Linked DNA regions of Callithrix jacchus. The main gene of each other region encodes a partner of the protein of the gene in region 2 in a complex. Links are inferred from orthologs where the notes say so. Each region holds a gene or a part of one and is shown on either strand. Other genes may lie near its edges.

Region 1 (4,174 bases), on a different chromosome or scaffold from region 2:
CTGCTGCTACGATATTTAGCTGAGAAAATAAAACCGTGCGTTTCAAAGCAATCCTTGCTAAGTATGATGTCTTCCTTGGCACAGATCAAAGGACACAGAACACAAGTGAGTCAAAGGCTGCTCGTTCCATCTCCACTTGCTGTTCTCCAAGGACCCACTGGGACTTTAACCACGGACCGTTTATAACTCATTTCTTATCCTGGCTTGAAGACAAAGGTCATTCACAAGACTGCATTATTTTCTGGGCATGGTAATCAGCTCTCATGATTTAATATTTTCTTGGCACCACACTCCACCGACCCCAGCACTGACTGGTATGCCAGCCATTTTTAAGTATTGTAAATGGGACTTAAATAAGTAACATTTTGGAAGGTGTGCAAACCTAAATAAATATTGCTGAGTGGGGACCGTTCTAGCCAACTCTCTTGTCTGTTAAGGGAAAAACAATACATTCATCCTCCGTTCGCGTATATATACACACACACACACACACACACACACACACACACACAAACACACTCTCTCTCTCCCCCCTCCCCCTCTCTCCCTCCCCCTCCCTCTCTCCCCCTCTCTCTCTCTCCAGTTGGTTGGTTCCGACTTCCTCCCAGCCCTGCCTTTTACTGATGGGGGTAACCAGAACAGGGCCAGCCTCAAAAACTCAGGAGTCAACTCAAGTGATAACACAGTAACCCCAAATACTCATGCAGCCCTTTCTGTTTTTCAGGAAACTAGCATATAAATATGAATGGCTTCCCAGACCTATAAGGTAGTTCACGCACTTCAGATTAACAGACGCCTTAACATCACAGGGCTGCGCCTAATAAATGCTCAGTTTCCGGCTCCTAGGTTCCTTTCCCTATTAGTCCCTTGTTCCTGGAGTGAAAGCGATGGGAAGTAAAACAGACCACAGCCCCTAAAAGGCTAACGGTGGACTCTACTTTTTATGAGTTTGTCTTTTACCCTACTTTTTCTATCTACACGTCCAAGTACCAACACTCACCATGTATGTCTGCAAGAGGTCAGCTGAAATCCAGATCCCATCATTTCCAAACTCAACACCAGAACGCACGGCCTGACAGGAACAGGTAGATTTGTGGAGACAATGGGACAGAGTACAAAGTCTCAGACTCACCCCTCCTTGTAGCAGAAAACAGCAGCCGGCCAAGTGCGGGAGCCCCCGGGGCCTAGAGGTGCCTGCAAAGGCCGGGGCACAGGAGAGAGGCTGAGGCTGTGCTCCAGCTGGGAGGAGAAGACCAGTGATGCCATCCTCCAAAGTTCACAGCTTCGGTAAAATCCTATCTACCCAAGTGCCCTACGGAGTTGTTCCCACCCCCAGCAAAAAAAAAAAAAAAAAGATAACTAAACACTTGAAGGGCAAACCAAATGCAACAAATGCGCTCCCCAGCTGGACCCAACAGGAAGTCTGCATACATTTACTTAACTCTAGCTCTCTCAATGATTCAAGCACAACTCAACTTTGATTCTGTGCTCAGATCTGAGAAATCTCAATCCTCCAGAAGCACCAAGCAAAAATAAAAAAAGGCCTCCAAGCACAAACACAGCTGCCCCAAATTCCCGGCCCACCCAAACCGCACCTCTCACAGGGAGCCTCAGTCCTGATCTCAGGACATTCTGGTGCGTGATAAAGGCACAGGCTACGAAAGGTCCAACAGCTGGGCTCCACTGACAGCAGCTGAGAAGCAGCAGGTGAGGCAAGGGTGGGTGTAGACCCGAAGACGCCATCTTATCGCTGCATAGAGACAGAGAATGCAGGGGAGGCAGCAACAGGAGACCCCACAGTGTGGCCCGGAAGCCCTCTACTCCCAACTGGCCCCCAAGGATGGCGGAGAACTACGACAGGATGCAGGACACCCCCGAACTGTGAGACAGGAGCTACCAGCCTGCAGATGCAGTGTGGGTCATCAATGGCTTCAATTGAATGATTGCTACCAGAAGCTGCCGTCCACGACTCCGTACCCAGCAGACTCAGTCAAACACATGCGTAAGCCACATACTATACAAAAGAAACTTGATTTCACTTCTGGGTCTTTTTTGATCTTAGGCTTCATAAGAACACCACACAATGTAAATTGGCAAGTATGAGAATCCTGGCTGTAATTTGGAGTCACGTTAGTGGACACCAGGTTTAAAAATAGCTATGAAGAGGCTTCCAGTAAAAGCCATCAAATGAAAGGCGCATTATGTTAGGCTGCTCTGGCCCACACTGACGTTAATAAACGAAGGAGCGTGAGAAGAAAAGTCCATCTGCAATAAATGTAGGAACTACCGGAACCGGAACCCACAGGTAACATAGCCAGGCACTGACCTCTGCTCCAGGCTGAGGGGAGAACTGAGAACACATCAGGACCCTAGGCCTGCAAGGGGGCAGGCGGCTGGGAAACTGAGGTCCTTTTCTTGGCACGTGGGGCTGAGATGGCAGGTACCATTCCTGTGGGAACCCAATTGCAGATCCAGAGGCACCCAGCAGGCCTGGTCCACGAGGGCATCTCCACTTCCCTAACCAGGAAGGCTTCCTAGTAGAGAGGCCAGCTTTTCGCTGTGGGCCCCAGGCAACTGGGCCCTCACCCCTCACCTGGGGAGCATGCGAGGGTGCCACCGGGAGTGGCACAGGCCCCTGGAGTATCTCATCCCTCGGAGAAGAGCAGGCGCTGGCACAGCCCACAGGCAGAAGGCAGGGCAGGCTGGAGAGAAAGAAGAGGACAGAGCCACCTGCCCCAGGAGGCAGTGCTCCCGCCCCTCCGCGCTCACCCCACGCCCGGCCCATGGCAGGTCCCCTCCTAAGCCAAAGGAATCCACGCTGACGAGTGGAGGAAAGGCAGTGGTAAAAAAGAAAACAAAAGGAAAATATTTCCAAATTCCCAAGGGAGAGGGGAAACATTTCAGAAAAATACTGCTCTCAACTCAAAGAAATTACAGACAATCCAGATAATCCTTTTTTTAAAATCTCCAAAAAGCATTAACACAGCTAGAGATGAAGGTAATAAAAATCACTAATAAACCTCATATTAAAAGCAGCAAAAAGTAGAAAACAATGACATAAAGAAAACTGTATTACCTAAGAGTAGAAGCACTAAAAAGATGTAAAAGTGATCAGAAAATGAAAATAAGTAAAAGGCAAAACCCCCCTTCCGGTCAGTTTCTACTAGAGAAATAATAAGACAAGTGGAAAGATTCATAGGTCCATCAAAATTTTCCAAAAATTTTTTTAAAGCTGCAAACTCCCTAGGTAAACATCAATGTAAAATTACAGGAATTGGTCCCCTTTTGGTTGGGGGACAGGGTTACTTATTTACACATCCAAAGAAAAAGGTGGAATGATGTACACTGAAATGCTAACAGTACGTTTTTCTCTTATCTGTGTTTTCTGCACTGTCCCTGTTGCTAACAATGAGCCTGTCTCACAGATGCACACTGTGGGAAAAGCAGAGCTCCAACATCGCAATTTCTAATGTACACATGTGCAGATCAAAAAATGCCAGACTTGGCTTCAGGAAGATGATTTTAAGCTTATTCCCGGCTGCTCAAAGTCAGTGATTAGACAACTCAAATCCATTACCCTAAATCAATACGGATAATAATAAAGAAGCTAAAAAGCAGCAAATGTCTTTCTATATTAGATGAAACATCCTGCATTACATTACACCAAATACCGTAATTACCGCATGACTTGTAAACAATTCTTTCCATAAGGAAAACCAACAAAATGAAAATATAAAAAAAAGAGAAAGCATTCAAGAAAAAATGTTAACTCATTTTTTTTTTAAGCTAAAAAAAGAAACATGAAAGTTTAAAGAAATTGGGAGGTCACAGAAATTGCTTAAGATCTGAATACAATTCAACACCAGTCTTTTTCTTTCTTTTTTTTTTTTTTTGAGGTGGAGTTTCACTCTTGTTACCCAGGCTGGAGTGCAATGGCGCAATCTCGGCTCACCGCAACCTCCGCCTCCTGGGTTCAAGCAATTCTCCTGCCTCAGCCTCCTCAGTAGCTGGGACTACAGGCATGCGCCACCAGTCTTAAAGTCCTTGTCATTCTGGGTTTCACTGATGAAGGGTAAGAGAGCAGGAATAACTTCCGATAAATAAAACTGTTCTGTTTAAAAGACAGCGCACAGATGACCGCTGTGGCAAAGGCTGGGCAGGGTGCTGGGGTCCT
Region 2 (4,037 bases):
TTTCTCACAGCAGTTGCCACTATAAACCACTATATTCTATAGGCACATCTGCTCGACTGTTTGCCTCATTGAAACATAAACTCAATGAGGGCAGAAGCTTGGTCGTTTTTTTTTTTTCAACCCCGGGCCTAAACACATAGCTGGCCTTCAAAACACTGAACATAAAATTAACCCTTGGGACGTTTCAGATTCTGAGAACAGGAACCATCTCTGAACCATTCTCTCTGACTGTGATCATCTAGGTCCTTCATTCAAAATGCATTAATTGGAAATACCTAAAAGAAACGTGGGAGGGGGTCGGAAGAAAGTGGAGAAGAGATATTTACATAAATTAAAAAGGGAGCTGATATATGCGTAACACTTTTGCTCAACGTCAACTTCTCAAGTCAAGGCCTCACTGACACTGGCACTCAATACACAGGTGCTGAATAAATAAATGATAAAAGTGAAACCCAGAGAGGTTAAAGGATTTCCTCAAGGTCACACACCTAGCAACAAACACAGCCCTTACTATAACCTTGTCTACTATAGCCCCGTGTGTTGGCTCTTTCCACAGTCACTTCCACTACACCACAGAGCCTGTTCCAGCACATGATTCTATTTAACAGATTTCTCCTCTTTTTTTTTTTTTTAAGTGCCAAAGAAAATACATGTTACCAAAAAAAGTGACACACTGGGTAGCATTTTAAACTCAAGTGTTTCGCCAACTAAAACTATATTCAAATTTCATAAGTATACAGGCTTAGCCCGTAAAACAGAAAGGCACAACTATTCATAGTTAAGTTCCTCTTGAAATTGGTGTGTATGCTTTGAAAGTTTTAAAACAACCACTGAAAAACCTATTCACCAATTCTGAATGGCCTGTAAAGTATCAGCCTCACTTTCATTATTTTCAGAGCCCACAGTATCTCCTCCCTGGCTATACTTTATCTTGCAGATTATGCAAGGCAATGTAACTAACTTCAAAGCCCCTCTATTTCCTTTTAAAGTACAAAAAAATCTCCCAAAACACTGAACATAAAATTAACCCTTGGGACGTTTCAGATTCTGAGAACAGGAACCATCTCTGAACCATTCTCTCTGACTGTGATCATCTAGGTCCTTCATTCAAAATGCATTAATTGGAAATACTTAAAAGAAACGTGGGAGGGGGTCGGAAGAAAGTGGAGGAGATATTTACATATATTAAAAAGGGAGCTGATACATGCATAACACTTTTGCTCAACGTCAACTTCTTGTGTCAAGTCGAGGCCTCACTGACACAACTTCTGCTGTCTTCTTGATCACCTTCCTCGCAGAGACGGGCCAAAGCCGGCACCTTCTGCCGGGACTGTCTCTAGACCTAGGATGGGGCACACCAGGACAGCGGACGGTTTGCTCCGCGTCTCTCAAAACTATTGCCAGCCCAATTAGTAAACCGAGAGGGCAGCCCTGAGATGCGGGATGGCCAGAGTTGAAATGAGCCTGGGAGTTAAGAGTGGGATGGGGCGACGAACAGGCGTGGGGAGGGTAAACAACGCACAGGTAACAGGAGTGAGAACAGGGTTGAGGTGGGGTCAGCGAAAGGCAAAAGACGAAGGAAGGAAGGGAACGGGGCTCAGGGTGGGATGGGCGGTAGCAAAGGGGGAGGGAACGCGAGCGGGCTGGGGGAGGGGGAGAAGGGTCCGGGGCGGGGCGGAAGGGAGCAAAGAGGCGGGATGAAGACGGCCAGGCCGGGAGGGTCTTTACCTGCAGCTCCGCCCGCTCCACCTCCCACTGGGCTCTCTCCACCTCGAAGCGGGCCCACTCGTGCTGCAGGAAGTGCAGGATCCCTGGGAGACTGTACTGGGCTCGGGCCGCCCCCGCCGCAGCCGCCCCGTCGCCGGCCGCGGCAGCCTCCGCCAGAGGCCCGAGCCCCTTGGCACCGCCGGCGCCCGGGTGGTTGTTGCTGAAGAAGACGCCGGGACCCGCCTGCTCGTCCATGGCGGCCGCAGATACCCGGGGAGCTGCCCCGGCGCCCAGCAGCGGAGGCAACAGCGGCGGCAAGCAGCGCCTCCTCCTCCCTCCGCCGCTCCCGCCCACACCCCAGTCAGCAGGGAGCAGCCGCCTGGGCGCGGGGGCCGGCCGAGCCCGTGACGGGCCGGGAAATGGGTCAACTGCAGCGCGCGGGTGGCCCGGGGCTTGCCGGGAAATGTAGTCGTGGGGCGGGACGCGGGCGAGCGAGACCAAGGCGGCCTGTGGGGCTTCGCCTCGGCTGGGGCGTGGCTTCGGGCCTGTCCCGCCCACTCCGGCTCGCCGCGGAGGGGCGGGCTTGGCGGGGAGCGCGGGTTTCCTATTGCTGGCTGGGCGCGGGCGGGCGGCGCTCCAGTCTTCCTTGCACGCGGAAGTTGGCGGGCGGCGCTCCCTTTTGCGCACACACACACAAGCACGCGGGCGGCACTCCCTGTTGCACACATACACACACACGGAAGTTATCACGCCAAGATACCAGCCCGAGCCGCGTATCGTTTAAGGCTTCCTGGTCGTTCTGTGAAGAAACCGTCAAAGCGAACTACCTGGTGCGGCAGCGGGACGGGTTCTCCCGCCGTCAGTCCTGCGAGCTCTCGTGCCGGCTCCGACTTCGGAGTTTTTATCACCCTAGACGCTCCTCCATTCTGCCAGTCTGCGGGTCGCTGTCGCTCCTGCCTTTCTTTTTTGACTCGAGGGGCTCAAACCTGTTGCCTGACCAGTTTTCATTTCTAAGGAACGCTGCTCACCTCTCCAAGACAGCGCCGCAGCTTGCTGCTGCTGCTGCCTGCAAATTGTAGTTTGTTGACAGCCCGTCGGAAAACCTGCTCTGTTGAAGTTTCTTTCCCTTTGCAGCCCTCTGCAGTAAATCCTGTAAAAGTTTTAGCATCCAATAACAGATGCTTTGTTATTTGCCTCATTTTTCCTTACTCCCGCTCATTTTTACTCCATTTAATTGAACATATATTTTGATTATCGGTTATCTCTCGCGCTGGGAATATTAAGATAAATGACACCATTTCTGTTATCAAAGATTGGCATAGAATCAAGTATAACACTGCCTGCAAAGCGACACCACCTGAAAGAGCAAGGTCCCTTTCTGCTTCCTAGCCCAGTCTTAGATATCCTGTCCCCTCTCCATTTTCACTTGTCCTGTTCCAGTTTCTTTTACGATTCACTTGCAAACTGGCAACAGCATCCGCCTACCAAAGGTACACCAAAGTCCTTTCCTTTTAAGTGGCTCTCTGTAAATATTTTCCTTTTCCGAAGTCTGACAATATGTCACTATAAATTCACACTGCAACAGTGGGAGAAAGGGAAGGCCCTTGAAAACAATTTTTAAAATGCAAATGAGGCTGGGCTTGGTGGCTCACGCCTGTGAACCAAAGCACCTTGGGAGGCTGAGGTAGGTGGATCGCTTGAGTTCAGGAGTTCGAGACCGGCCTGACCAACATGGGGAAACCCCGTCTCCACTAAAACTACAAAATTAGCTAAGTGTGGTGGCGCATGCCTGTAATGCCAGCTACTCCAGAGACTGAGGCAGGAAAATTGCTTGAACCCAGGAGGCGAAGGTTGCAGTGAGCCGAGATTGCGCCATTGCACTCCAGTCTGGGCAACAAGAGCAAAACTCCGTTTCAAAAAAAAAAAGCAAATGAAATTAAGCACCTTTTTATCACCCTAACAAGTTATCTGGAATTCTTATGTTTTCTAGGACGTACTTCTGGGCTATCAGACTTGATGGCCATGAAAAAAATGAAAAGATACAGGCTGCTGAGTGACATGTCAGGGAAAGACATCCTGTCCCTGTCCTCTCTCCCCTCCCCCCTTTCCCATGGCTACTTGCAGAAAGGACAGGAAACACATTGTATCTGCTCTGGTTGCAAATAAAGATGGAGAACTCTCTTCTCTCCTTAATTGATGTTTCTGCTTTATGAATTAATTCTTTATTATCATAAAAGATTGATCCAGGCCTGGCCAAATTCCCTGTGTCATAACTTATTTGGCTGTCAGTGTCCTTTGAGATACAGCCCAGTCTTCTCGTTTATAGCTCA
Region 3 (3,999 bases), on a different chromosome or scaffold from region 2:
GGTTCAGTAAGGTATTAATAACACACAGAAAGCACTTAGCAGTCTCTGGCACAAAGAAGATGACATCCATTAATGATAACGATATTGATAAGAATCATATATTATTCTCTGAAAAAGATGTAAAAGGAAGAAGAGAAACTACTATTTACCACTAGAGGCCCCCCACCGTGTGGTGGTTAGAGACCCAAAACAAACTTCAAAGTAAAGAACTTCATTTTAAACTGGCATTCGACTATTACGTTTTTAAAAAGTAATTAACCCCTTATGTGTTCCCAAAGGTGCCTTCATAATGAAATTCCTGTTGCTATTATTACCAGTGTTACTGTCGCTGTTAGAGTACTCTCAAAAGAGCCTGTCTCCCTCCCGCAGTGGAACTTAAAATGCGGCGGAGGCAGGGAGTTACCAAAATCGCTGCTGTGTATGCCGAATTCAACAACCTGTACTGCTGACGATCCAATCTCATTTCCCAAGCCTCTACTATCCTCATTAACTTTTCTGCTGATATAACATCTGCTTTCCATTTTCCCTCTGCCTTTACACGTGCAGAACTTGTGGTAGAGAGAAGCCCCAGTTTGGCCGTCCTGCAAGTGATAGCCAAAGAGGTAGGGGGAACCTTAGGTTAGAAGTCATCTGAACCATGTCTGGGGTCGGGGAACTCGTAAAGCTTGAGTGTGGCTACTGGTCTGCCCAGAGGAGCAGCCCCCAGCTGAGGAGGCCAGATGGCGGGAAAAAGCGGGGGCCGCCGACTCCGCGGCTGTGATCCCGCCCTAGGCCAGGCCGGGGAGCCAAGAAAGACTTCCAACACTCCCAAGTTTCAACTCAAGTCGTCTCCGAGGGTGCGTGTGCCCCAGCCTCGCACGCCCGCCTGCAACAAGGTCGCATCTAGGACGCCCTCATACCCTCAGGGTTTCCCAAACTCTTCCATTCTCTTCCCAGGCCCAGCCGTGTTCCAGGTCTCCCGTTCGCCGGGTTCTCCTCACCCCATGCCGGGAGAGTCTCCAGCTTCTCAGACTCCAGCAACCCCAGCCAAACCCCTTCGCTGCCTGGAGCCTTGGCTCCCGCGACACCGCCCGGCTGCGGGGCGGGGGCAGGGCCAACGGCGGAACCGCCCCCAGCCGCCTCCCGGGCCAGGCAAGCAGGCGGGTGGCTGGGACGCCTCCACCTCCTCTTCCTAAAGCGGCGAGGCGCAGAGGAGCGGCATCACTCGAGCCCAGGTCCCAGCCACCACCACTCACAGCGCTCGGCGTTCAGGAAGAGGAGCAGCAGCGGAGGCGGCTGCTTCAGTGGCGGGCGGGCGCCAGAAAGGTAGACTGAGTCCCAGGGAGCCCCGCCGCGAACAACCCACCTCCCAGCCCGGGCTACGCGCCTCCAGCCCAGTAACCCCACTTCTGTGTGTCCTTCCAGGCCCCTAACGACAAGCCTGGGAGGGCCGCCGAACTACCCCTGGAGGAGGAGCCAGTCCGAACTCAAGGCGCTACCGCCGCAGAAGCGGAGCGAGGCTACAGTCGCCTCCATGGCCCACTCACCAGTGGCTGTCCAAGTGCCTGGGATGCAGGTGAGGAAGCGCAGGCCGCCCCCCGCCGCCCACGTGACTGCTTGGGAGCCCGGAGCGCTCTCGGTGCTGGGCACCGACGACAAGGGACGGCCCCGGGACTCCCCTGAGGGCTGGGCCGGTCACTCTGGCCAGGTGACCTGGGAGTAGGGCTTGAGGTGTTTCCTGGTGTGTAGGCTAGGTGGTGCTCTTCGCTGGGAAGGCGAGGCGGGACTGGAGCGCGCAACTAGGTGGGGATTGAGGGCGGCTGTGGGGTATAAAAATAGGCCAGAGCCACAGACACCTGCGCCTGTGGAGCTTGGCACGGTTGGGGATGGGAGGGGGGGAGAACTTAACCTGCGAGACATGAAAGTGCCTTGGAAGTTGTGGGGTAAAACGCGAGTAGTGAGTGCCCTACAACCCCCACCCCAAACACGCACTCAAGCTGGGGCGGGGCAAGACCAGGGGTGTCGGCGGCAGCTTGAATTGGGCTCTTCCTGTGTGCGTAGGGCTGAGAGAGAGAGGTGACCTCTTTCTCCCTTTCGGTACTGCTGCTTAAGGGCAAAGTTGTATCTGGCTCCCCGACCTGGCCCAGCCCATAGCGTGGAGCGAGAAATGTTGGTCCTGTTCAGAGTCGCTGAAGTGATGAGTTCCCAGCCCCCCTCCGTGCCTTTCCCACGAGATGACTTACATGTGGTTAAAGTAAGCATATTGTCCTGGACAAGGGACTACTGCATGGGACCCAACTTCTTACTCAAAGTCTACCCAGCCCAACCCCCTCCCATTATATTTTCATTTTATTAAAGGTAAGCCATGTTGGAAAACTTCTCATGCTGTTATGTTTTTAAATCGGTGCACTTTAGGCTATCTGCTAAATGTTATCCAAATCTACCAACTTTTTAAAGTATTCACTTTTTTTCCCTTTGCTAGATAGCCCAAACAACCCATTTATGAATAGTTTAGAGGCTAAAAACAAGAAAGCCTCAGTCTCTCATGATCTAAAAATGTGAAAACAAACTTTTTTCAAGTTCAGAAATAAAATGTTTAGAGTAGCAAATAGCTTATATTTACTGTAGACTTGGGCCTCAATTTACTTATTAGCAGTGTTCTCATTTTATGCATGCCCACAAAAGTGATTTTAAAATTATTTCCCAGAAAGGGATCATTTGTGCACCTAGAACTCCTGGTGTGTCCTAAACATCAGACATTTCAGCTGCATTTAGGGCAAGTCTGGGTTGAGTCTCAGGAAGTTAGTGTATATTAAAGAGAGAGAAAGGGAAATAGGAAATAGTAGGGCTTAAGAAAAAAAAAAGATTAATCCATTCAAGCCTTGCAAAATGTCTCAGACTTTCTTCCTCTCAGGCGGCCTCCCCTCTCTTCCCCCCCCTTTTCCCCACACACCCTGTCCCACACCCCATTCATTCAGTTCTGCCTTTGATTGTATCAAGGGAATTCATAGTTTGCAATACTAAGTACAGTTTTGCCGTCGGATCTGGGAAAAAGTGACATTTTCCCACCGTGCTCTTCTTTCCGTTCTATGGAGAGTGGAACGATGCACACGTGAAGTTTGTCTCTGAGGGTCTCCATGCTTCTCGCTCCATTGTGTGCGTGAGCCTGCGTGTGTGCGTCAGCAGAGTGAGTGCCTCCCGTTCTCAAGTTTGTGATTCTGGGGAACTCTGTGTGCTAAGGAGAAAATAGTTTCCGATCTTTACTTTATTTGTCTTGACCTTATTGAATTTATATGGTTTAGGAACTGCTTACTGTTCAGTATTTCTAAGTGCTGTTCCCTGCTTTGTTTAAAGATCTGAGTTGCCTATCTCTTGAATATTTACATCTTAATTAATGTGGATTCGAATGTGAATCACATACTTTAAATTACAAACTCTGCCTTTCACTGCTGTCTGAATTCTGATTACTTTGTCCCATCTAATCTGAGTAGGGCAAACATCTCAATGTTAGCAGAGAAGAGAGGAATTATTATTATTTTTATTTTTTGGTCATTCTCTTCATCTTAATGAAATGGTAAATTCTTCTTATTTCCATTTTCTTTCTAAATGTACTTCTTAAGCACTTTGTGCAACACATAGTTTTTTCCATAGTTGAAATTGTACAATACCCTAATAATAAATGTGAGAGCACGCAGTGTGACTCTTGAACCTAGACTATTTCTGTTATTGTTATATAGCAAAATATTGCGGATGAGATGCAGAAATTCGTTGCAAGCTTGTAAAATGCTCCTAGAGTTTTATGAAAGCCTTAGGAGCAACTTTTAGATTTTTAGAAAACTTGAGTTAGCCATGTGTTCTTGAAATTACTGTATGGTGTTTCCACAAATCAGGGTGAGGTGACCGGCCAGCCTATAACTTTTTAACAGTTTATTTTAGAGAATTATGAAGATTGATGGGAAAAACGATTTTTCCAGAAATAAAAACAAAATTATCCACAATTTTTTTCTCCCTCTGAGGAGA
Region 4 (3,500 bases), on a different chromosome or scaffold from region 2:
GGGGCAAGTAGCTATAAGAGCAGTGTCATGGCGTTTTTGTTACCCATGACACACTAAGGAGTGTCAAACACAGTTTAACTCCAGATCCAGAACCTAGTGTGCTGGGACAGTATAGAAATGAGGTTGAAAAAGCAGAGAACTGTGGTGTTTTAAATCCTCAGCTCTCTGATCACCAACAAGTAGCCAAGCAGCAAGCTAAGCTGCCTAATGATCCTGGGTATGTAATTAGAGCAGGGGAGTCAGCTTATGACAAGACCACTTCCCTCTTCTGCTCAATATTTTCTCCCTGTAAGGTTATATATTTATAAAATCCAGTGTATTTTCCAAAGCCCCAGACAGAAGAGCCAATACATATCCAGTATTAACTGATGGAAAGCTTTTTTTAGTTTGAGATGTGCCTGTGGCCCTGTCAGGATTCACTGACACACTGCCAAGGCCCATCAAGCCACCCACCTGTCTAGCTATGAATCCACATACTTCCCACCAAGATAAGCAGAAGTAAACACACATCCACAGTTCTCTGTTCTCTTTACACTAGCAACATTATCTCCTACCTACCCCTATTCCTCCCAGCCCTGCTGCTACTCAGCAAACATTGGCAAAAGTGGGAGCACCGAGGGCAACCGAACATACCCAAAGATGTCTTTGAAGGTATGAAAATGGAAAAATACCCTGGTTGATAGGGCCATGACATAGACCCTGCAGGAGCCTCTCTGTACTCTGAGGACCTGCTCTTCTACCAGCAAGCTTGATTCTGACTTCTTAGGAGGAAAATGGGGTGGAGCCTCTAGGCAAGAATGAGAAGCATTCCTATTCTCCCTGTGGTCTCCTCACAGACAGGAGCATCCATTTGCTGTCCCCATCTTGTCCTTATATATTGGCAACGCCATGAAACCAAGTCCAAACTCCTTAGCATGGCAAACAATGTTTTATGGGAAAGCAGCTTCTTAACTTTTCTTAGCTTCGATTTCATCATTTATAAAAGAGGTATTAAATAAGACTACTTCATAGGGTGGAGAGAATGAGGGCCTAAATAAGCTTAACAGGGTGCTGGGCACAGGACAGGTGCTCAGTAATTGTGTGCTAGCATATAGATTATGATCTGCTCCCTGCTGATCCCTTCAGCTTCATGTATCACCAGGCCATGCTCATCTTTCCCCACCCCAGGCAGAACTCCAGCAACATTTAATTAGTTTCTAAAGGTACTTTGCTCTCTCTCTCTCTTCCCCCTCTGGACTTTTGCATATTAACTTTTCTGCTTGAAATGCCTCCTGTCCTCCTTCCCTAACAATTCTCATATCGTGGCTAGCATCTGTTTTTTTAGGACTCAGGTTAGAAGTCATTTCTTCTCCACCTCAAGCTGAATCAGGTGTTTGCATAGCAATCAGTGCTTACCTGTATCAGAGCACTTATCTCACTATAATTGGTTACTTATATATCTGTATCCTTTACAAGATTTCAAGGCCCCAAAGAGACAGAACTGTGCCTTATTCAGAATATACCTCAAATGTCAGAAAAGTGCTTCACATATAGAAAAGTATGGTCAACATACTTTTCCCCCCATTTGTGTGAAATGTTTGCACTCTCTCTTGCATTGTTTCAAAAACTGGCTGGGCATATTCTTGAGAACCTAGAGATTCCTATCCATAACCCTGGGATAACTTACAAGGGACACAGACATCTGTACCTTTCTAGGACAGTTCCCACTCCATAACACTAATGGGTGGCCAGATTCTCTGAGGAAGGGCAAAGAAAAGGCTGAAAGATGCTCGTCAGGATTATAAGGGCCCTCGTATCCTTCCTTTGAAAGATAGGGCCTGGAAAACATCCAAGACCTGTGGAGAAGAGCTGCTAGCTGCTCACCTGGTAGATATGGTTGAGTTTGAAGTGTTTGAGGAGTAGCAGAAGCAGGGTAGAGATACTCTTTACAATAATCTCCTTGTGCCTGTTCACATCAATGCCCAGCTTCATGCTCTGGAGAACAGTGATGCTACAATGGGGAGAGAAGGTATTAGCGCAGAGAGTGGCCTTAAAGGGAGCCCTGTAGGGATCCAGGTATTTGGGTCTGATACAATGTACACATGAGAGCCAAAACTTGGAAAACTTGAACTTCTGTGCCAGGGAAACCTCCAGAGTTACCACTTATCAGCCTGTCTGAAGAAATATTCCACTGATTTCTTTGTTTCTGTCTCTCTCTTTTGGCAAGTTCATCCCTTGGGAATGTTCACCCATATATCTGGGCAGCCAGTCACTGGCACTCATATCACCCTCCAGATCCTGAGTTCTGAGCTAAAAAGAGCCAAGCAGAAAGCCCTGTAGGGGAAAGGGGGTACAGGTGTGGAGAGAGGGGGAGATCTCTTTGGAGACAATCTCTGTAAGTATTAACAAGGTGAGTGGGGACTAGAGAGACCCTGCAGATAAGACAGCTAGTATCCAGCAGCTGCCCCCATTGAAGCACTCACGGCATCTCCTCAGGTAGGACATCTGCCAGGATATTGATAGAATCTGTCTTAGCCTTGGAGGTGGGAGCTGCAGCCAGCAGAATCTTAAGCAGAGCGATCTGGAAAGTAGAAAATAAAGAAATCCACCACTGTCCAACCCACTCAGCAAGGCAGTGGTTCTTCCACATCTTAACATCCCTGTGAAAAGTGTTTTAAAGCCATTCTCTAAGTTCTTCCCTCAATGACCATATCTCTCTAGCATCCAGAAGACCAATCAGGTGCCCAGTCCTGAGAGGCCTGCCCGTGAGGATAAAGAGAAAGCCAGAGGGAGCTCATTGGCTGTTCTGCTTCAAGACTGTTCTTTCCAGGGCCTGGCCTGGTGGCTGATGCCTGTAATCCCAGCACTTTCAGAGGCTGAGACAGGCAGATCACTTGAGGTCAGAAGTTCAAGACCAGCCTGGCCAAAATGGCGCAATCCCGTCTCTACTAAAAATACAAAAATTAGCTGGTGTGGTGTCACATACCTGTAATCCCAGCTATTTGAGAGGCTGAGGCAGGAGAATCACTTGAACCCGGGAGGTGGAGGTTGCAGTGAGCCAAGATCATGCCACTGCACTCCAGCCTAGGCAATAAAGTGAGACTCTGCCTCAAAAAAATAAATTAAAAAAAAGACTGTTCTTTTCAAAGGGGAATATGGACAGAACAGAATGAGAGGGACAGTGTGTAGAAATAAGGTGAGAGGCATAAGCCCAACTTCTCCCACTCTTTTCCTTCCTCTAACCCAAACCATTGGCATCTTCCCCACCCCCCAGCCTGAGGCTATCTAGGACATGACAGACCACAGCAGATATCAAAGGGTCTACAGTACTTATCTCGGAGGAGGGTCCCCAATGTATCCTGTAGAGAAACTCAACTTATTCCCCACCTCTCCCAAAGAAGGACTAGAGAGAACAGTACCATCAGAGGAGTACTGAGGAAAGTCAGAAGTTTCATGTCAGAGAATGCCTTGCCAAATGGGCACAGGCTCAGGAAACAAGCTCAAGTGTTGGATGGATCGGC
Region 5 (3,500 bases), on a different chromosome or scaffold from region 2:
GACTTACCCTCCTGGACCCTGCTCATACCCCACCTGCCCTGGGGCAATTTCCTGGAGGGTGTGCACTGTCATGGCTGCGTTGCGCCCTCCCCCACTAGCCCACCCTGGCATGTCACTCCGTCCCTCTGACATGGAAGAGGGTCAGGCACAGCACCAGCAGGGCCCCCGCCTCCCACAGGCACCTTCAGGTAGGAGCCGAAGTAGCGGGTGATGTAGGGGCTGTCGCACTGGCTGAGCACGGTGATCTCCTGCTGGATGTCCTCAATCTCATCCTCCGCCTCCTCCAAGTCGATGATCTTGATGGCCACCACCTCCTTGGTGTGGTTATCGATGCCCTTGTAGACCTCCCCAAACGAACCCTTGCCAATGCGGTCGAGCTTGGTGAAGAGCTCCTCCGGATCCACTCGAGAGTGCTGTGGGCCAGTGGGGAGAGGGCAGACAGTGCCGGTCACAAGAGGCAGGCGGGGGACAGGCAGAGGCTGCCCTGATGGGGAGGGACCTGTAAGGAAGGCGGAGCCCGAGAGAGCGCACCTCAATTCTTCTCTGCTTTCTTCTTTTATCCCTTTTGTTTGAAACCTGAACAACTTCCATGCAAGGGAAAAAGTCCCCAGAAAGTATAAGGAGGCCAGGCCAACTCAATGAACCCTGCCGGAAACCAGGAGCCTTAGGTGATGACAGGCCTCATCTAACCCTACCGGCTAATGGCAGGCCAGCCCCGTGAGAGATCTTAATAGGCTAATGGCCCCATGGGATGAGGGTGGATTTGGAAACTTAATTTGCTATAAATCTGAAACTACTAAAAAAATAGACTCATCAGGGCCAGGCACAGTGGCTCATGTCTGTAATCCCAACACTTTGGGAAGGCCAGGTGGGCAGATCACCTGAGGTCAAAAGTTTGAGACCAGCCTGGCCAATATGGTGAAAACCCGTCGCTACTAAAAATAAAAAAAAAAAATTGGCCAGGTGTGGTGGTGCAGGCCTGTAATCCCAGCTACTCAGGAGGCTGAGGCAGAATTGCTTGAACCCGGGAGGCAGAGGTTGCAGTGAGCACAGATGGCGCCACTGTACTCCAGCCTAGGTGACAGATGGCGACTCCATCTCAAAAAAAAAAAACATCAGGCCAGGCGCATCGGTGCACACCTGAAATCCCAGCACTTTGGGAGGCCGAGGTGGGTGGATCACCTGAGGTCAGGAGTTTGCAACCAGCCTAACACGATAAAACCTCGACTCTAATAAACACAAAAAAATGTAGGCGTGGTGGTGCAGGCCTGTAATCCCAGCTACTCAGGAGGCCGACACAGGAGAATCACTTGTACCTAGGACGCACCACCCTGAGCAACAAGAGCAAAATTCCATCTCAAAAAAAAATAAAAAAATAAACGAACTCATCAAAAACCTCAGACCTCGGTATGTGTTAACCAAGTTCTCCTTCACTCCTGAAAGCCACAGACTTAGAAAGGGCCTCCTCACTCCCAAATCAGTCTCCCGACAGCTACACCGGCACAGAGTTAGAAACTGGTGTGCCTCACAGTCCTCAGATCTAAAGAAGCAAAGCCTGAAAGTTTCTGAGTCGCTGGTGTGGAAAGTGCCTGGTCTGTGGCCCAGAGTCCAGGGGAAGCCAGCAGAGGTATGTCCTCAGGCCTCCACCCACATTTTTTTTTTTAGATGGGAGTCTCACTCTGTCACCCAGGATGGAGTGCAGTGGTGCGATCTTGGCTCACTGCAACCTCCGCCTCCTGGGTTCAAGTGATTCTCCTGCCTCAGCCTCGTGAGTAGCTGGAATTACAGGCGTGCGCCACCATGCTCAGCTAATTTTTTGTATTTTTAGTAGAGAGAAGGTTTCACCATGTTGGCCAGGCTGGTCTTGAACTCTTGGCCTCGGGTGATCTGCCCACCTTGGCCTCCCAAAGTACTGGGATTACAGGCATGAACCACCATGCCCAACCCCTCCCCTATGACAGGGTCTTGATGCCAATTTAGTGTAGCAAAGCATAAAAAGGCAGAGTGACTATGCCACAAAAACACTGAGGCCCAACTCATTCTGCTGCTGACACACGACAGGTCCTTGGGTTGGGGGTGCCCTCCACGTTCCTGGGGAGACCATGCCCTCCAAGAAGGATGGGGTGCACCACAAACAGCCCTCACACTCATCCTCTGGACACCTGTGTGCTGGGGCTGCCCCCGGCCCAAGTCCAGCAGAGCACTTGGATGAGGCCGACTGGACATTGTGCCAGCCTGAGGCGACATTTCCATGTGAAACTGCCAATTAGCTGCCCTCCCAAGGTTTGTAACCAGGAGGGTGGAAGAGGCGGCACACAGGCCCCCATCTTGAAACATGCTGCTACATATCCCTTTCTTAGTGCCTGCCAGACCCCGAGGTGACAGAACTCTGGAGAAGAAAAGGCGGCTGCAGAAGGGCCAGAGGCCACCTAACCCTTCCCCACAAGGCTGGCTTGTTAGCACGTGGCCTGCATGCAGCAGCCAGAGCAGCCAGATGCAGTGTCCACACAGACCCTGGCTCAGCCCAAACATCTGACCAGTTGAGACAGTTGGTCCAGTCAAAAGTGACCTCTCTCACTCCCTCATCAGTACCACCAGCCCAGTCCTAAAGCCAGTACCCATGGAGGTGACAGCAGGGGTGCCTTGAGCCCACTGCTACCAGGAGTCCCCGAAGCCAAGGTCAAGAAACTCGGCCGGATAGAGAGAGCTGACTTTTGCCTGGGGTCCCTCCGGTCGTGCTGGCCCAGGTGAGTTGTGTCCCCAGCCCCACCACTGCTGCTGACATGTTCTAAAGAGAAGCCAGGAAAAATTCACTCCAGCGTGGCTGACAAGTCCCGGGTGCTCAGCTGTCTCCAGGTTGGGGGTGGGCAGCACAGATCAAATCAGAATCAGCACCTATCTGAAAGGAAAGTCAACCGAGGACATGCCATCTTTTTTTCTTTTTGGGGGATGGGGGTCTTGCTGTGTTGCCCAGGCAGGTCTCCTTGGCCTCCAGAGTAGCTGAGACCACAGGTGCATGTCAAAGCGTAAGCTCATCCGCCCAAAGGCCGTCGCACGTAAGCGGTCAGTGTGAAAACATCGCCCGCTTGCCATAGAGAGTGCCATCTCCATTTCTGGTGGAGGCCCAGTCTTGGATGCCAGGTGCAGGACCAAGTTAAGAAGCAGCCCCTTTTCTCTTTGTTTTTTCTTTTGAGACAGAGTTTCACTCTGTTGCCCAGGCTGGAAGGCAGTGGCGCAATCTCAGCTCGCTGCAACCTCCATCTCCCGCATTCAAGTAACTCTCCCACCTCAACCTCCCGAGTAGCTGGGATTACAGGCACCCACCATTATGCCCACCTAATTCTTTTTTTTTATTTTTGTAGAGACGGGGTTTCACCATGTTGGCCAGGCTGGTCTCAAACTCCTGACCTCAGGTGATCCAGAGCAGCAGCCCCCCTTCTGCCTGCTCCTCCCCCGCAGGCCCAAAGGGGCCTCAAATCCTCCTTGTTTGCTCAGCCCAT
Region 6 (4,095 bases), on a different chromosome or scaffold from region 2:
CTTTGGCCAAAGCTCTAGGCTAGCTTCTGTGAGTCTTCTGCCTGACTGGGCCCAACCCCTTGGGCTTCCCTTTCTGGCCTTGTCGAACCCAGTCTGTGCAAGAACGCTCCACTCTTGGTGTCTTAGTCCATTTTTTTGTTGCTATAACAGAATACCAAAGACTGGATAATTTCTAAAGGAAAGAAAGTTATTTTTTGCAGTTCTGGAGTCTGGAGAGCCCAAAGTCAAGGGGTTGGGTCTGGTGAGGACTTTCTTAAACTGCATAGGGAGAGAGCAAGAGCACGTGGGCCAGCTCAGATCGCTCCTCCTCTTATAAAGTCATCAGTCCCCTCACAGGGACCCTACCCTGATGACTTTATCTAATCCTGATTATCCCCTCAAAGCTCCACCTCCAAATACCATCAACATATGAATTTGAGGATTGAGTTTCCAACATATGGAATTTGGGAGACACATTCAAACCATAACACTTGGTATCTGACCACCCTCAATATCTTAGCACCCTATCCTGCTTTCAGCAATAATCCTGTTAGGTCAGTTTAGCAAGAAACTTCTTATCCTTGATGTTTCTCTTAGTAATTTTCTGTCCACTGACTCTCATCCTGCTTTTTGATCATAAATCCCTACTATTTCTTGTTGGAGTCAGAGTTAAGTTCAATTCCTCTTCTTCACTGCAAGGTCTGGTTGTAGCGGTCTCTAGAACTATCACCTGGGCTCTCTGACATAACGTCTGCCTTACCATCTTTAATTAGTTTCACGAGCAAATTTTCCTCTGACACTTTTCAGCATTTATTTCTCTATATTTGTCTATTGTTTGTTGGACCCACCAAGCACTGTTATGTACCATGACTGCAGACACTTGTCCCTCATTTTATCTTAACCGCTTGGCACACAGGAGACATTTATTCAATGTTTGTTGAATGAGTGATTAGCACTCATCACAACTGTAACTCTGTGAAGACTAGGATCCTACCCATTTTGTTCTTTACAAAATACCGCCTAAGACTTGAACAAGTCTTCGATAAGTGCAAAGCGATTTAGAGGAAGGAGGGGTGACTAAACTGACTGAAGAAGCTAAGGGAAGCCTCACAAATACAATTACATTGAAACTGAAACTGAAAGGGAGGAAAACTAAAAAGATCAAGAAGGGAAGAACTGCAGACAGTATCGTGCTGGTCAGCCAAGATGGCTTCTATCGCAGGCCGCCACACTTAATATGGCGACCAGGTAAAGTTCCTGGAGAAAATCACGCGAGAGTTGCATCACGGCGGCTGTCCGCGAAATAAGCTGGGGGTGTGGAGCAGCCAAGATGGAGCCGGCAGCCGGCAGTCCGGGCCCACTGATCGTGAACAACAAGCAGCCCCAGCCTCCGCCACCTCCGCCGCCGGCAACCGCACAGCCTCCACCTGGGGGACCGCGGGCCGGCGCGGGCCTCCTGCCCGGGGGCAAAGCCCGCGAGTTCAACCGCAACCAGCGCAAAGACTCGGAGGTCAGGAGCTTCGGGGGCGAGGCTCGCACCGGGCGGGGGGCGCCGGGGGTCCCGGGCATTGGGCCGCTCTAGGGGCCAGGCTGGGCTTCCCGAAGGGCTCGGTAGAGCCCGGCCGGGAGCTGTCATTATACAGCGAAAGGAGCAGGAAGCGAGGTTGGCAGCTCCTGGGGTCAGAGGCATGAAGCCCGGGTCCCCGCTCGAGCTCCGCCGCCCAGGAGAGCGTCCCGGAGCCTGCGATCGCTGGTTTGCTCTCCTGGGCCCCGGCTGTGGGCGTGGCCTCGAGGCCCCTGACCCTGGGAAGCCTCCTTCACCCCAACTCGCGGGTGGGAATTTGGGGGTCTGCGTGCACTCCAGGGCGCTGGGCGGCCGCGCCCCCAACCTCTAAACCTCTCGGGCCTCTGCCCCTGGTACTGGGGCGCAGGCTCCTGGGTCGTGCCGCGCGCAGAGGACGGCGCGTGTGGGCAGGCAAGGCACCGGCGAGGATCTAGGAGGCACTTAAGGCCAGACCGAGATAGTTATCACTGAGAGTATTGCGCTGCCGGAGGTTCCGAGAGTAGGAGGGGGAAACTATGCCTTGTTCTTCTGACCTGAGCCGGATCGGGCCATGGGTTGACAGTGCCTCTGGTGGGTATTTTGCCCAGTGCGCCTGATACTGAACTGTTAAAGATGAGAAATAGACATTTTAAAACATGCATTAGGACCCAGCATTCCTTCCTCTCTCTCTAGTGAGCAGTTCCTGCCGTTCTGGAGATGGCATAGTCTGGAGCCGACTAGTAACCTCACCCCAAGTTAAAGAATTCCTCCCACTGCCTTCCTCTGCAGAATTCATGAATGAAGATACACATGTCGGGGCGTTTTAGGGCTTCTTAATCAGCACGTTCCCAGAGCACTTACTATGCCATCTCCTATGTTAATCAGCCCCCAAGCGAATCAGCCAAGTTAATGAGAGGGAATTCCTCATTGTCCAAGCATAATGTACTCATAGAGCAATGATACTATCTTTAGACTTGTGAAATCAGTTCCTCACAAGCTTTTGTTTTTGTTAGCAAGCCTAAACCCCTGATAAAACGTGTCAACAATTGGCAACCCCAAAGTAGAAGTAATCTGAGCTTAGAGTGAATAATTTGAAAAAACAAAGAAACTGACCTTTAAGGAGCCCTTGCATGCTAGGATGATGGACATCAGTGGTAACTACTCAGTTTTTCCTTTTTTTTTTTTGAGACGGAGTTTCGCTCTTGTGACCCAGGCTGGAGTGCAATGGCGCGATCTCGGCTCACCGCACCCTCCACCTCTTGGGTTCAAGCAATTCTCCCGCCTCAGTCTCCTGAGTAGCTGGGATTACAGGCACGCGCCGCCACCACCACGCCCAGCTAATTTTTTGTATTTTTAGTAGAGACGGGGTTTCACCATGTTGACCAGGATGGTCTTGATCTCTTGACCTCGTGATCCACCGCCTCGGCCTCCCAAAATGCTGGGTTTACAGGCTTGAGAGGATTACTAAAGTGGAGGGTAGTGAACTTCCTTCATCATGAGAGGAGTTATCATTTTGAAAAACGGTTTAAATTTTCCTAAGTAGCTATGAATGGTCAAATAAATACCCTTTGACGAATTTTAATTTCTCTTTTTACCCCTTAATTTCCACATAGAGGCCGGGTGTGGTAGCTCACGCCTGTAATCCCATCACTTTGGGAAGCCCGGGGAGGGGGGGCGGATCACGAGGTCAGGAGATGGAGATCCTGGCTAACACGGTGAAACCCCGTCTCTACTAAAAATACAAAAAATTAGCAGGGTATGGAGGCACGGGGCCTGTAGTCTCAACTACTTGGGAGGCTGAGGCAGGAGAATCACTTGAACTTGGAAGGTGGAGGTTGCAGTGAGCGGAGAGAGATCATGCCACAGCACTCCAGCCTGGGCAAGAGAGCGAGACTCCGCCTCCAAATACATACATACATACATTTCCGAATAGACTAATTTAATGAAAGACCAGTCAAATGGACACATTTAAGCAGAGACCTGTCTAAATCCATTTCTTTTTTTTTTTTTTTTTTTAAGATGGGGTTTCACCATGATGGCCAGGCTGGTGTTGAACTCCTGACCTTAGGTGATCCATGCACCTCGGCCTCCCAAAGTGCTAGGATTACAGGCGTGAGCCACCGTGCCTGGCTAAATCCATTTCTTTAAAGAGGCTGATGCTGTGATCTTCCTTTAGTCATAGCTGAAATCTGTAGTTGGGAGCTTGATCAGTGAATGCCTGGAGGACAGGGAGGCTGGCATTTTATGAGAGCCCACTGTGTACTACATAATTTTGATTAGTCCTTAAAAATCTTCAAGGTAGGGTTTCATAATTGCCATTCAATGAATGAAGTAACTGAAGTTCAGTAACTTGTGTGAGTGTACACTGTGTTGTCTCTGAACATAGTGTGGAGTTCTTGTTTGTGGGAGTGGTTTTGTTTTGTTTTTGAGACAGGGTCTCCCTCTGTTGCCCAGGCTGGAGTGCTGTGGCTCTATTTCTGCTCACTGCAACCTCCACCTCCTGGGCTCAAGATATTCTCCTGCTTTAGCCTCCCCAGTAGCTGGGATTACAGGTGTGCACCACCATGCCTGGC

What was found.
Region 1: STRN (region 2) and STK24 share a complex: the UniProt entries of both Homo sapiens proteins name them as parts of the core of STRIPAK complex. The link is inferred for Callithrix jacchus from reciprocal best matches to the Homo sapiens genes STRN and STK24.
Region 3: STRN (region 2) and STK26 share a complex: the UniProt entries of both Homo sapiens proteins name them as parts of the core of STRIPAK complex. The link is inferred for Callithrix jacchus from reciprocal best matches to the Homo sapiens genes STRN and STK26.
Region 4: STRN (region 2) and STRIP2 share a complex: the UniProt entries of both Homo sapiens proteins name them as parts of the core of STRIPAK complex. The link is inferred for Callithrix jacchus from reciprocal best matches to the Homo sapiens genes STRN and STRIP2.
Region 5: STRN (region 2) and STK25 share a complex: the UniProt entries of both Homo sapiens proteins name them as parts of the core of STRIPAK complex. The link is inferred for Callithrix jacchus from reciprocal best matches to the Homo sapiens genes STRN and STK25.
Region 6: STRN (region 2) and STRIP1 share a complex: the UniProt entries of both Homo sapiens proteins name them as parts of the core of STRIPAK complex. The link is inferred for Callithrix jacchus from reciprocal best matches to the Homo sapiens genes STRN and STRIP1.

What each region holds. Positions count from the first base shown.
Region 1 is NC_133502.1:14,261,882-14,266,055, forward strand, and holds the start of STK24 (serine/threonine-protein kinase 24), read right to left. Parts: upstream 2,801-4,174; 5' UTR 2,786-2,800; coding exon 2,327-2,785; intron 1,019-2,326; exon of another isoform or gene 1,004-1,018; coding exon of another isoform or gene 1,001-1,003; intron 1-1,000. UniProt on the Homo sapiens protein: Serine/threonine-protein kinase that acts on both serine and threonine residues and promotes apoptosis in response to stress stimuli and caspase activation.
Region 2 is NC_133515.1:78,023,818-78,027,854, reverse strand, and holds the start of STRN (striatin), read right to left. Parts: upstream 2,801-4,037; 5' UTR 2,436-2,800; coding exon 1,908-2,435; coding exon of another isoform or gene 1,825-1,907; coding exon 1,729-1,824; intron 1-1,728. UniProt on the Homo sapiens protein: Calmodulin-binding scaffolding protein which is the center of the striatin-interacting phosphatase and kinase (STRIPAK) complexes.
Region 3 is NC_133524.1:127,582,750-127,586,748, forward strand, and holds the start of STK26 (serine/threonine-protein kinase 26), read left to right. Parts: upstream 1-1,199; 5' UTR 1,200-1,305; intron 1,306-1,404; 5' UTR 1,405-1,513; coding exon 1,514-1,555; intron 1,556-3,999. UniProt on the Homo sapiens protein: Serine/threonine-protein kinase that acts as a mediator of cell growth. Modulates apoptosis. In association with STK24 negatively regulates Golgi reorientation in polarized cell migration upon RHO activation.
Region 4 is NC_133512.1:117,737,071-117,740,570, forward strand, and holds part of STRIP2 (striatin-interacting protein 2), read right to left. Parts: intron 2,561-3,500; coding exon 2,463-2,560; intron 1,991-2,462; coding exon 1,864-1,990; intron 1-1,863. UniProt on the Homo sapiens protein: Plays a role in the regulation of cell morphology and cytoskeletal organization. Required in the control of cell shape. Calmodulin-binding scaffolding protein which is the center of the striatin-interacting phosphatase and kinase (STRIPAK) complexes.
Region 5 is NC_133507.1:162,783,250-162,786,749, forward strand, and holds part of STK25 (serine/threonine-protein kinase 25), read right to left. Parts: intron 2,789-3,500; exon of another isoform or gene 2,619-2,788; intron 414-2,618; coding exon 183-413; intron 1-182. UniProt on the Homo sapiens protein: Oxidant stress-activated serine/threonine kinase that may play a role in the response to environmental stress.
Region 6 is NC_133508.1:147,887,854-147,891,948, forward strand, and holds the start of STRIP1 (striatin-interacting protein 1), read left to right. Parts: upstream 1-1,295; 5' UTR 1,296-1,309; coding exon 1,310-1,489; intron 1,490-4,095. UniProt on the Homo sapiens protein: Plays a role in the regulation of cell morphology and cytoskeletal organization. Required in the cortical actin filament dynamics and cell shape. Part of the striatin-interacting phosphatase and kinase (STRIPAK) complexes.